3 linked regions of the Cricetulus griseus genome follow. The main gene of each other region encodes a partner of the protein of the gene in region 3 in a complex. Links are inferred from orthologs where the notes say so. Each region holds a gene or a part of one and is shown on either strand. Other genes may lie near its edges.

Region 1 (4,006 bases), on a different chromosome or scaffold from region 3:
ACCTGCCCTCCTGACTTGGTGATGGTGAGGCTGGTGGTGCCATGAACCCTGGTCTTCCCAGAGCACAAACTCATACAAGATGATGGCCTCAGGATGCCTGGTAACAGGCACCACATGGGGTCCAGATGCTGCTGTCCAGTTTACCCCAATCAGAAAGCCCCAAGCCCCGAGTAAAGTCCAGAAGATTCCTCAGAGAAGCAGGGGGAGCCACCAGCACTCTTACTTGATCTCTGTCTGGCCACCAGCCTTGCGCGCAATCTGCACCAGCTCCTTCCCGTACCTCTCTTCCGCCTGGGCCCTGCAAGGACAGAGCAAGCACTGTGTCCCTTCCACCACTATTGGCTGGCTATGGCCCCAAAATATGTACAGGACCCATATTCTCCCATCATATTTTGTTGGCAAAATGGCTACTGAAAAAGTTGAGCTGTTTCCTTCTGAGGATAAATGTTAGTTGAAAACAGGCCTGTCCAAAGGGCTGCTACATGGTATGCCCCTTGGAGGAGGCCCAGGCCCAGGAGCCGCAGGAGACAACAGAGAGCTCTGGCTCGTGTGTGAATGTATGAGTGTGTGTGTGTGTGTGTGTGTGTGTGTGTGTGTGTGTGTGTGTGAGTCCAGGTGTATAGGTACCACAACGTACCTGTGGAAGTCAAAGGACAACTTCCCCACCCTCTCCACCCCCTTTAAGATTTCATATGTTCGTATACTATATCCTGCAGAGATACCAAGGAGGCCTCTGGGGATCTTGTCACTGCATCCCCTCTTGTTTTGAAGGGGATTTGAACTCATGTCCCTATTCTTGTTTAGCAAGTGATCGACCCACTGAACCATCTGAGGAGTTTTAGCTCTTAGCTTTTGAAAGCAGACCCATACTGAGAGCAGCTGGGCTCTAGGGGGCGTAACCACTCCCTTCCCTGTCTGCTCTGACCACCCAAGCCCAGCCCTGCTTACCTCTGCCTGAGCAGCTCCTCCACATCTTTGCACATCTTCCTGCCATCCAGCAGCCGCTGTAGCAGTACCTCATATCCCGTGTGGGCCGTGAAGTCCCTGCACTGTAACATTGGACATTCATGAGGACCCCAGTAGGACAGCAAGGACCTTGCTGACAACCTCTGGAGAACAGCCTCTTTCTGGCCTCCATGTCCCTGGTCAAGCACCTACAGGTTAGGGCCAGCCTCATGCTGGTACACAGTACCACCCCATACATGGAGGTTCCAGGACCACAGCTGTCAGGCCTCAAGAGTCTGATACAGCAGCTTTAACACAAGACAGTGGGTAGATGAGAATGGCCCTACTGAGGCTCCGTGATGACAGCCAGGCCCCAGATTCTTTCTAATTAAATGCCTGGTGTGGCTTGTGCCCTATGACCTCATGACTTGAGCTAAGTAAGGAAGCATGTTCAGGAGGTAAAAGTGGTGACTGGTCATAGAACACCTGGCCTGGCTCAAGTTCTGTTGCATCCCCTGCTGGAGTCATCTCTTAACTAGGGGATTCTGGGAAGCAGCTGACCTTGTGCGTAAGCCTTGTGGAGCCAGCTAAGGCCTAGATCCACAGCTTAGTGGCCAATGGACAGCTGACCCTAGGCTCAGCACTGCTCAGAAAAGGGGATATGAGCTTACAGGCTGAAATTCTACAGAGAGATGCAACACTTCAAGTTGGCTGAATGTAGACAGGGGTGGGGGGCACTTATGCCCCCTGTACTCTTCCCAATATCTGATTCTCTGTAGATCTTGAGGTCCACCAAATCCCCCTGTAAGAAACTTACTGGAGGTATAACCCAGGTCTTCTAGGCAATTGCCCTAACCCTAAGCCATACCCTCAGTCCTTTTCTTGATTTTTAATAATAGCCTTAGCTGGCTATGTGATACCCCAACCTGAGACAGTTGCCCCTGCAACTTGCTGCAGGCCCATTAGGGGCAGGCATCTCCCTTCCAAGTCTAGGCTGTACCATCCGGAGCCAGGCTCTCATTTTTTATGTCTTTAAAGGTCAGCTTTCTTTCCTTCCTCCCTTCCTTCCTTCCTCCCTTCCTTCCTTCTTCCCTTCCTTCCTTCTTCCCTTCCTTCCTTCCTCCTTCCTTCCTTCCTTCCTTTCTTTCTTTCTTTCTTTCTTTCTTTCTTTCTCTTTCTCTCCCTCCCTCCCTCCCCTCCCCCCCCTTTCTTTCCGAGTTTAGAGCACAGCTTCCCACTCTTGACCTCTGCCCTCCCTGGGGACTCCCAGGTCAAAGTCTGTAGCAGCATGAGGAAAAAGTGAGTCAGAAGCTACAGATACCCCCCTTCCCTGTGGGGGTCACTGAGCTTGTGTTAACATTCAGGGCACAAAACCACAGACCCCAGAACTGTGAAGAATCTGTCCAGTGCCCCTCAGCCCTTAAGAAACTGAGCCCCAGAGAAGGGAAGGGCCTGCCTGGAGCTTTATTACAAACTAGAACCTAGCCCCTCAGGAGACTTTCTCCTCTGAGGAATTTTTGCAGGGAGGGCTAACGGTCTATGCTTCCTCCCCCATGCCCAGTCCTGAATCTCCAAGGGGCTCTTTCTGTCCTCTGAGTCCCAGGGTAGAAAAAGGAAAGCCAACCAGACTCACACCGGCCATACTGGAGGACATGAAAGGCAGCAAGGGGCCCTGCAGCCCAGGTCTTCAGGAGCTAGTGTCCTCGGCACCTGCAGCAGGCTAGAGACTCCCATCCAGCCCTTGTGTGCTGCCGCTGTGGTGGCGTCAGGCACAATGAGCCACAGTCACAAGTGATCCAGCTGTTCTAAGGGAGTGTCTAGTCCCTCAGGGCTGCCTGCCTTGCTTCCATCCCTGCCCCCTCATTCTCCTCCTCCTTCACCCCCACACCACCACCTTCTCAGCAGACAGACTGATTCACTGCCAAGGGAAGAAGGAAGGGGATTGTGGGAAAGAACCTCCCAATCAGAAGTCCACCATCTATCCACGGCAGACTCCCCAGGGCTACCCCAGCTCGCTCTCTCTTCCCCCCCCTTTCTCACCTCTTCCTGTCCACCATTAGCCTGTCAATCAAATCCTGCCCATGATGTTACCCTAAAGCATGAAAATAGAGCCCTGCCTGGGCCTTGAGCGAAGGCTCAGAAGTTAGGAGCACTTACTACTCTTGCAGAGGTCCCGTGGCTCACAGCCTCCTGCAACTTCAGCTCCAGGGGATCTAACTCCCTCTTTGGGCCTCTGCAGGCACCCACATGTACATGCACACATACACATAAATAACAAGACAAATCTTTTAAGACAACGAAGCCCTTACTGGATCCACTACAACCTGCTAGGCATTTGCCCTGAGAAGGGCTTTGCAGCAGTGAATGGGGATCTTCTGCAGCCTAGGCAGCACTCCAGGAGCTGAGCCATTCCCAGGACACAGCCACCCAGGGACACCATGGAGGACAGCCAGGCTTTGGTTGCCAGCAGCCAGCCAACACTGAGGCCTAGCCTCATTACCCTCACCAGCCCTTTGTACCATTCCCTGCTCTGGCTGAGCCCCCATGCTCTCCCTAGTCACTTACTTTTAGTTTTCTTTAGAAGTCACTGATTCTGGAGGCTACATAACTGTGTATTATCAGTTCCCTGCTAGCTTGGCTATGCTGAAACCACTGATTTGGGGGAGGGGCATGAAAACTATGTTTGTCTAGGCCATTCATTATTCATAAACCTGAAGGCCTTTACTGCAAAACACCACTGTTTTCACCCTAGTCTTCATAGATATTATTTGGATGACTTTTTACCTGAAGAAGCAAAAATTCTCCTCAGATAAGCTATTACCCCCACTTCCTAACCAAGAAGAGTTGTAAAGTTTGCACACATGCAGGCCACAGATTGCTTTGCTTCCAGTCTTGCTCTCTATACATTGGACCGTCCTGCTTCCTGGCCCTATAAATAGCCCCCAGTCCTATTCTTTGGGCAAGTGGATCTTAGACTTGGAGCTCTGTCTCCCTGTGGATTTACTCTTACGAAGGTTTCAGTGGCTGGGATACTGGACAGGGGGGGAAACAGCCTGGCAGT
Region 2 (4,101 bases), on a different chromosome or scaffold from region 3:
TGGCTTGGAGAGGGCACGACTTGTCCCTCAGTAAGTAAGTGACTGGCCAGGATTGGCAACTTCAAAGCTCAGTGGGGACAAAGTGGAGGGGCTGGGAGGAGGGAGAGGTGAGGCTGAGGAGAACCCACCTTGGCCATGTACTCTGTGACAATGTAGAGCCCACCCTTCTCCTCCACAATCACACCCAGTAGCTGGACCAGGTTGCTGTGCCGAAGTTGCCTGGACAAGGCGGGACAGAGTAGTCAGCCAGAGTTCAGAGTTCAGTCAGCCAGCCTCCCCCGTTCCACCCAGGCCCCAGGCAACCTGCCCTTATGCTTGTCTCAACTTACGTCATGACAGAGGCTTCAGCCAGGAAGGCCTGGGCAGTGGCATCATTCTTAATGCATTTAACTGCAACTTTGTTGCCCCGATAATCACCCAGCATCACGTCTGGAGGAAGAAGGGAGGGATGCGGTTTCCTGGACACCCGAAGCTTCTCAGACCCTCCCGGGGCTCCCTCAACTTACCTCCAAACTCCCCCTTCCCAATCGTCTGTAGCAGCTTCAGTTCCTTCATGTTCAGGGCCCAGCCACCTGTGGGGTGGGGGCAGAAAAGCAGTGTGTCAGTGAGGTGAACAGAGAGTTGAGGCCGTTTGAGATGGCAGGCACAGGCCAAACTGCTTTAGATGTGGGATGTCTGATGTCTCCAAACCACCAGGGTAGGCCAGTGGAAATGTAGTTAGTGTACTTACTGCGGTAGAATTCATCTTGGGCGGCCACTGTGCCCTCCATGACCTTTGGTTTGATGAGGCGAGTGCAGAGTCCATCGGCATCTGTGGTGTAGTGCTGCAGAGAGAGGGGGAGGGCAGGCCCTCAGAACCAGACCCGCTGGCCCCATTTTTCATAGACTCACGGGCTGCTCAGGTCTGACCACCAGGGGGCAGCAGAGGCCAGTTCACGAAGCCTCCAGCTGCTTTGTGTGAAAGGTTCCTCATTTCAAAAGGGTGGGAATGCCTGTCCATTTCCTGTGTCACCCCACCCACATCAGCTACTGGACTCCCAATTGTCACTACTGCTGTGGGCCTGACCAGCATCTTAAGGTAAACAGCAAAGCCTGGCCTGCTCCCTGCACCAGCCTCCAGCCAGGTGTCCTCGGCCAATGTAAACCAGAGACAGGATGAGAGTGAGCTTGGAGGGAACCTACAGTTTTCTGTTGCCAAGTATGGCCTGGTCAGAGCTGACAGAGCTGGTGTCGGAAGCTGCAAGGACCTGTGGGTGTGCAAAGGCCTGAAGGACCCTGGTGGCCAGGGCACACACACGAGGAGGTTCGAGTGGAAGAGGAATTGAGTTCTGGATCAGATAGCCTCAAAGTCTAGTGGCACCTCCAACGTACAGAGAGAGGAGAGACTTTCACTGATCAGAACTTTGTGTCCTTATCTATAAAACGGGCCCTTGTTGGGGTACTATGGGCCCTGGCACATAGCAGGTGCTCCACTGGGGTGTGCTGTCAACGTGTCCAGGTTACTCTGCCAGGTGACTTGGTGCTGGGTTTGTGTGAAATGTCCTCAGGTGGACTCAGGTGTGTCTGAGTGTGGGCAGAAGGGGGAGCACCCCTACTCACCTCCACCAGCTGCATGAGGTTCTCGAAGTACACCTCCTCATCGATGCTCAACTTGCTCGCATGGTACATGATGCGGTAGTGTTCCACCTTGCCTTCACAGCTCACACACAGTGTGTAGTCCCCAGGGTAGTTGGTGCTTTCCCTCACCAGGAACAGGCCCGTCTCTGGTGGGTAGAGAAGCCGCTCGGCCTGCTCCCGTGTGATTTTGCCATGGAACCAGCTAGGGGGTGGCAAGGCTGGGGGTCACAATGGCACTGACCCCAGTGCCTCCTGCCAGCCCCCCACATGCGCTTTCCCACTGCTTCCAATCAGCCAGGGCACCATCTTCTCCCTGTCCCCTTTTCTTCTGCTGGGTGCCTATTCCCTCTGTTAGGTGCAACCTCTTGTTCCATTCCTACAACGCCTCTTACTCAGGGTTGTTTTCCTCTCTTCTCCCCAAACCAGGAGACTCCAGCCCTCCTCCTGGTACTCACGGCATAAGGCTGAGTTTGGTGCCTGCCTTCACACCCTCACGCTTCTGGACATAGTTGGCTGGGATGATGCCCTCACGGCCCACTTTGTTTTTGGCTTTGTACCAGTTTGGGTCCTGGAGAGAGGGCAACCAGACACACTCTCAGGTCTACCTCCCTCTGCTGGGGAGCCAAACCCAGAGGGAATCCCTGGAGGTGAAAGAATGGGATAGGCATCTAAGGTCCACAGTACCTTAGTGACCGCCACAATGGTGAGCACGTCTCCTTTGCAGAAGGGCAGGTCTTGCTCAGCAGTGCCATGGAAGTTGTACTTGGCAATACATTCTGTACCGGATGGCCAGGCGGCCTACAAGGTAAGGGACAGGTATGGGGGTGCTGCCTGGGGCCCTTCTCTACCCCTCTGCCCGAATGCCCTTGAGACCAAAGCATCTTAGCTGATATCCATGAGTTTGGGGTAAGAGAATGCCCAGTCCCTTCCAGCTCAAATTGCTCTGCAGCCCAGTCTGGGGCCCTGTGCCCAATAGAGCACACTGGAATTACCGTTGCTTCAAAGTCTTGACTAGCATGGAGGGTTGGGAATGGGGAATAGGCTGGTCTAAGCACCCACTCTTTTTCCAGATGTGGGATTGCCTCATCTGTCCCCACCACAACCCCATGGTACCTGTATTGCCGACATCTTCTTAGATCTGGCGTCCCCGTGCTACAGGAAGGCCAATCCGTTACTTGGTACCATTAGAGCTGTGGGAGAGGAGACAAGCTGAGGAAGGCTGAGAAGAGACGACCCCACCCTCTGTGGGTGATCATCAGTTCCTTCAAGGCAGTACAAGCCACAGTGCCAAAGCTTCTGAGAGTTGGTACATGGATCCAGGGCTGCCCCCCCCCCCCAATAGGGTTTCTCTGAATTGTTTTGGAGTCTGTCCTGGAACTTGCTCTGTAGACCAGGATGGCCTCAAACTCACAGAGATCCGCCTGCCCCTGCCTCCCGAGTGCAGTGATTAAAGGCATGCACCACCAACGCCCGGCTCCAGGGCTGTTCTATCTAGCCTTGGGTAGAAGCACACAGACTCAAGAGTCCCAGGGAGGCCTTGAGGATTGTCAGGGAAAGGGAGTCTAGGGAAACTCTGAAACCAGGCAGGTGATGAGTGGTCCAGGAAAGTCACTTGTTAGACAAGGTCACAGGCTTGTCCCAGAGACTGTATAGACAAATATCTGTGCTTATTTCTTGGCACACACCCAAAAGAAAGTAGCCCATGTCCTCCAGGAGAGGGGTAGGTGCTCTCTCATGGTGTGCTCTGTAGTAAATCTCAGACCAAGAGCTAACTGCCCAGGTACTGAAAATGAAGTGGATAAAATAGGGAGAAGTCACAAGATGGAATTCCATACAGCGGTGGCATGGCCCATGTCAGCCACCTATCAGCCTTGGATTCTCACCAAGGAGCTAGGCACAGAGAAGCACAAGCTTTGTGATTCTCTTTGTATCAAGTTTAAAACTGGATCAAACCAATCCAGGCTTGTCAGGATGAATCTCTGCAGAGGAAAGAACTGGACAGGGTGTGAGGGGGCTTCAAGGTGTCAGCTATGGGGGCTGTCTGAGCCCCCTTGCAAGAGAGGGTTTGCTCCAGAGAAACTTGCTGGGTGTAGCCTGAGAGCTGGTGCTCTTCTGGATTTATGTGCACTTTTGTAAATGGAATTCCTCAGAACACTCCCCCAGAGCAGCAAGCATGTCTTCACACACACACACACACACACACACATATATGTCACCAACACATTCAGTCCAAATACAGCCCCAGACCTCAGATAACCTCAGAAGGACTCAGGCAGAGTGGGGCTACTGTTCTCTTTCTGGTGAGGGAACAGCCAATGGCCTTTCTGTGGTCACAGGGCTAGATGACAGATGCACTTGGGATGGGAGAGGTGAGGTCTAGCCATTGCACTTATGGCGGCTATGTACACCACTGCTAGAAGAGGACTTTCAGTGTAGGTGCTGGTACATGTGTGTGCATGTGCATGCATACCTGCACGTACACAT
Region 3 (3,963 bases):
AAACTCTTGTTTTTCCACTGGAGGACATGAGTCAGTGAACAGTGAGGTTCCACTTAATCACCACCCCAAAACAAGGTTCTTAAGAATCAGGAGTAAGAAGAACAAGGGAATGATTAATATAAAGCCAGGACAGTGATTTACTCTTGGGTGGGGTGGGGTGGGTGGAGAACCCTGCTGGGAAAGGGAGAGCTAGGGATCTTTTGGAGTTTGATGCTACTGTAGTTCTTCGTCTGAGTGGAGACTGCATTGGCAATGGTTCCTTTATCATTATATTCGCACGTTTTATGTAGTTTTCTAAATATGTATTATAGCTAAAAATTACAAGTAGCTAAAAAAAAACAAGCTGTAAAAAGTTCTTAAGCTGAGAAAAGTATAACCAGATTTATATCATTAAAAAATTACTTGGGCACTAAGCATGGTGGTGCACATCTTTAATCGCTGTGCTTGGACACAAAGGTAGGTGAATCTTTGAGTTTGATGCTAGTTTGGTCTATAGAATGTGTTCCAGGCCAGCTAGGGCTACTTTAGTGAGACCTTATCCAAGAAAATTAGCTGAAGGTGGGACAAGGCTAGAAGCAGAGAACATGGTCAGGAGGTGGCTACCACAATTTGGTGAGAGATTATAATGACCTCTACAAGGGTTAAAATATAGAGATACAGTCTTTTGTTTTGAAAAATACAATAAAAAAATAAGACAGAAGCTAACACTGCCACTCAGATCACTTTTTTCCCCTCTATATCTTCACAAATTGACTCAAGAACAACAGTCAAAATGCAACCACATATCTAAGCAGACATATGGAACTCTACCCTGTGGCAAACCTACTCTGAGGACTTGTGGCAGAAAGAATACATTTTTATGACATCATGACCATATGAAAGTTGAGTTGGCATAATACCTTAGCATCAAAGTTGAGCTGCTTATACACTAGCCTACGGTGATATCTAATCATGATACCCAGTCAGTGAAAACTTCATAGAGTGTTTTCTCATCTAATATCTGGTCCTAGAATGCTAGCTCTGGAAGGCAAAGACATTTTATTCACTACTATATCTTAGGGTGAAAAAACAAAGTTAGTATACAGTAAGTGCTCAATAAATATTAATGAATTATTTCTTTCTTTCTTTTTTTTTCTCAAGATATGGTCCCTCTAAGCTGGATGGGCTAACCTTGAACTCACAGTCCAACTGACCTCAGCCTTAAGTAGCTAGCACTCTAGGCACCTCCATAGTACCTTGTATTTAATTATCATAATTATTTGTGTCTAATCAACACAATAATCCAATGAGAGTAGATAAGACATATATTATATATTATTATCCTCATTTTGTAAGTTAGAAAACAAAGATTTTATTCATTTTTTGCAATTAAAAGTTGAAGGGCTAAGACTCAATATTCTTATAATTCTAAAACACCAACTAGAAGCATTTCAAAGCATAACAGGCTGGAGTGGTGGCACACGCCTTTGATCCCAGAAACCAGGAGGCAGAGGCAGAAGGATCTCTGTGAGTTCAAGGCCAAGTCTGATCCACACAGCAAGTTCCAGGGCAGATAAGCTACACAGTGATACAAACAAAAACCAAGCAAAACAATAAAATCAAAACCATGACATGTCTGTCAGATCCCACACTCTCCAGTGTACCTGACATGGAGCCATATAGCCTGCCCAGCTTTTACTGCATTGACAACTACAGCTCCCCTACAAGGAGACCCATTGTCTTCTGGATAGTCAAGTCCACCTGCTCCCTGGCTACCTTGTTCCTGTGTCCCCTAGTTGTCTCTACTTCCCACTCTACCCAGTCCACTTCTTCTCCAAACAATAGAAGTTAAAGAAACCCAGTTAGGGCAAAAAAAAAAGGAAAATGCTGTTCTAAAAACTTGTCATTAGGCCGAGTGTTGGTGGCGCACGCCTTTAATCCCAGCACTCGGGAGGCAGAGGCAGGTGGATCTCTGTGAGTTCGAGGCCAGCCTGGTCTCCAGAGCAAGTGCCAGGATAGGCTCCAAAGCTACACAGAGAAACCCTGTCTCAAAAAACCAAAAAAAAAAAAAAAAAAAAAAAGAAAGAAAGAAAGAAAGAAAAGAAAAGAAAAGAAAAGAAAAAAGAAAAAAACTTGTCAATAGAAAAGGGAAAATAGAATAAAGTGGCAAATGACAGTTTTGGTGTAATTCAAAAGCCTGTCATCCAAATGATATCCTATAGGGAGTCTAAAAATTCAACACTACACGAGGAGTTCCTCTTAGTCTCTTTCTTTTTGGTATCAATTAAAATGAGTAATTTGAAGCTTAAAACACAACTCAAATGCTTTCTCCAGATGCTCAAAAGGTATTAATATTCATACATCTGTATATACCTTCATAGGACTGATAAACTCAAAAAAACCCACAAACACAACAATAAAACCAGCATACCTGAAAAAAATGCTGAATACACAGATACAACAAAACTCACAGAAGTTATGTTTTTAGGTTGTCTCCCCACGCAACCCCTTGTAGTCCAAGCTCTGATGTTCAATTTGTCCCTACAGCAATTCAGTCTAGGCAGGTTAGACCACAGCAGACCGTTAAACAGTGCATCTAACTCCTCTTTCAAACATCCCAGAACTCACCAGAAATTCATTGGCAAACTCCTCATTATTAATTTTCTTTTTCTGGGCCTCATTCAGTAACCGCTGCAAAATTTCTCTTTGGTCCATGCCGCAGAGCAAAAGTCTGTGAGTGAATTAAGTGAGGGCATGTCAAATGTGTGTCATGGCCAAGACACCACCAAGAAGCCACTGCTGCTGCCTGAGCACAGCACGCTGGAGGCTGTGGTTTACTGACTGCATCACAAGCCCTAGAGGAAATTAGTACGAAACCAACTTCTGTGGTCACACAACAAAGCCATCATCTCCCTCCAGGGCCCTAGCGCCTTCCTTTCTCAACAAAGAAACCTGGCTACAGTTCAAATGTAGCGAACAAGAGGCTAACCAGAACATTAAACTGTGGTCTGCTTAGCTGGGGGACTCTGCCAGCTTTCCACAGTACTCACCTCACCTCTCTTGATGCTTCCCAGACAACAGACAGAAGTACAGCTCTAACATAAGGTGTGTTCAGCCTTTCCACATTCCCCAGGAGAGCAAAGGCCTGGGTGATGAGCACCTGCCGTCCCTCTACAGGGAAGGAGACAGACACTGGAGTTATCTATCTTCTACCTGGACTATTGTCGCCAAAGTCAGAGCAGGCATTTTACTTCAGAACTTGTCAACTGCTTCTGACAGGCAGGCAGTCTCTCTCACGGCTGGGGAAGTACTGGCCCCCCATAGAGGGAAGTGTTGATCTCTGTACCTCTTCAAACCTGCAGTAGCTTTGATCCTTATTTGGGTTCTGAATACAAACATGGAGAGCACTGTTCTATGGAGGAGAAGCACCTGGTAGACAGCACACTATCCTCAGAACGCACTGCTAGTAGACAGTGAAGGAATGAAAACTAAAATTTAATTTGTCGAGTGTAATACAGATTCTAGGTCAGAAAGTCTTGGGAGAAGTGAGTATAGCAGTGCAATCTGGGGTCCTCGCTACTCAGGAGTGTCACCCAACTGGAGGATCACTTGAGTCTGGGAGTTTGAGACACCTGGGCAACAAAATGAGACCTCTCCCTCAAAAACTGAAAGAGAGAGAGAGACACAGAGACAGAGAAAGAGAGAGACAGAGAAGAAAGGAAGAATGAAAGAGAGAGGGAGAGAGAAAGCCTAAAGAAGTGATTCTCATGAAGACATTTTGACATTTTTTGCCCTACAGCCACAGTCTTAGAAAACATCCCATTTCAGGAAGCCATCCCCTACTCATGGCATTTGTGCCTTGATAGGCAGGCTGCTCTAGAGAAAGCTTCCATGCCTCCGTTTGCATAAATTCTCTCTTCAATGGGTACAAATCCACCCAAGATCTAATTCACCCCAAGTGAATATATTATCTTTAAAGGAGGA

What was found.
Region 1: the proteins of Ptpn22 (region 3) and Pstpip1 are in contact, whole or in part, in a crystal structure (PDB 7AAM), measured with the Homo sapiens proteins. The link is inferred for Cricetulus griseus from reciprocal best matches to the Homo sapiens genes PTPN22 and PSTPIP1. Residues at the interface, in NP_057051.4 of Homo sapiens: Ser793, Lys794, Pro795, Gly797, Pro798, Arg799, Asn800, Pro801, Pro802, Trp805, Asn806; in NP_003969.2 of Homo sapiens: Thr225, Arg228, Asn229, Trp232, Asn236, Ser239, Met240, Cys242, Val243, Asp246.
Region 2: the proteins of Ptpn22 (region 3) and Csk are in contact, whole or in part, in an NMR structure (PDB 1JEG), measured with the Mus musculus proteins. The link is inferred for Cricetulus griseus from reciprocal best matches to the Homo sapiens genes PTPN22 and CSK. Residues at the interface, in NP_033005.1 of Mus musculus: Pro614, Pro615, Leu616, Pro617, Glu618, Arg619, Thr620, Glu622, Ser623, Phe624, Ile625, Val626, Val627; in NP_001291690.1 of Mus musculus: Phe20, Thr23, Gln26, Ala40, Val41, Thr42, Lys43, Asp44, Asn46, Trp47, Ile59, Pro61, Asn63, Tyr64.

The regions. Positions count from the first base shown.
Region 1 is NC_048597.1:167,620,746-167,624,751, reverse strand, and holds the start of Pstpip1 (proline-serine-threonine phosphatase-interacting protein 1), read right to left. Parts: upstream 2,808-4,006; 5' UTR 2,680-2,807; coding exon 2,581-2,679; coding exon of another isoform or gene 2,579-2,580; intron 1,050-2,578; coding exon 949-1,049; intron 299-948; coding exon 224-298; intron 1-223. UniProt on the Homo sapiens protein: Involved in regulation of the actin cytoskeleton. May regulate WAS actin-bundling activity. Bridges the interaction between ABL1 and PTPN18 leading to ABL1 dephosphorylation.
Region 2 is NC_048597.1:169,257,794-169,261,894, forward strand, and holds the start of Csk (tyrosine-protein kinase CSK), read right to left. Parts: upstream 2,808-4,101; 5' UTR 2,746-2,807; coding exon 2,731-2,745; intron 2,416-2,730; coding exon 2,302-2,415; intron 2,186-2,301; coding exon 2,073-2,185; intron 1,820-2,072; coding exon 1,600-1,819; intron 825-1,599; coding exon 731-824; intron 573-730; coding exon 507-572; intron 430-506; coding exon 330-429; intron 220-329; coding exon 129-219; intron 1-128. UniProt on the Homo sapiens protein: Non-receptor tyrosine-protein kinase that plays an important role in the regulation of cell growth, differentiation, migration and immune response.
Region 3 is NW_023276806.1:53,075,471-53,079,433, forward strand, and holds the start of Ptpn22 (tyrosine-protein phosphatase non-receptor type 22), read right to left. Parts: upstream 2,807-3,963; 5' UTR 2,695-2,806; coding exon 2,608-2,694; intron 1-2,607. UniProt on the Homo sapiens protein: Acts as a negative regulator of T-cell receptor (TCR) signaling by direct dephosphorylation of the Src family kinases LCK and FYN, ITAMs of the TCRz/CD3 complex, as well as ZAP70, VAV, VCP and other key signaling molecules.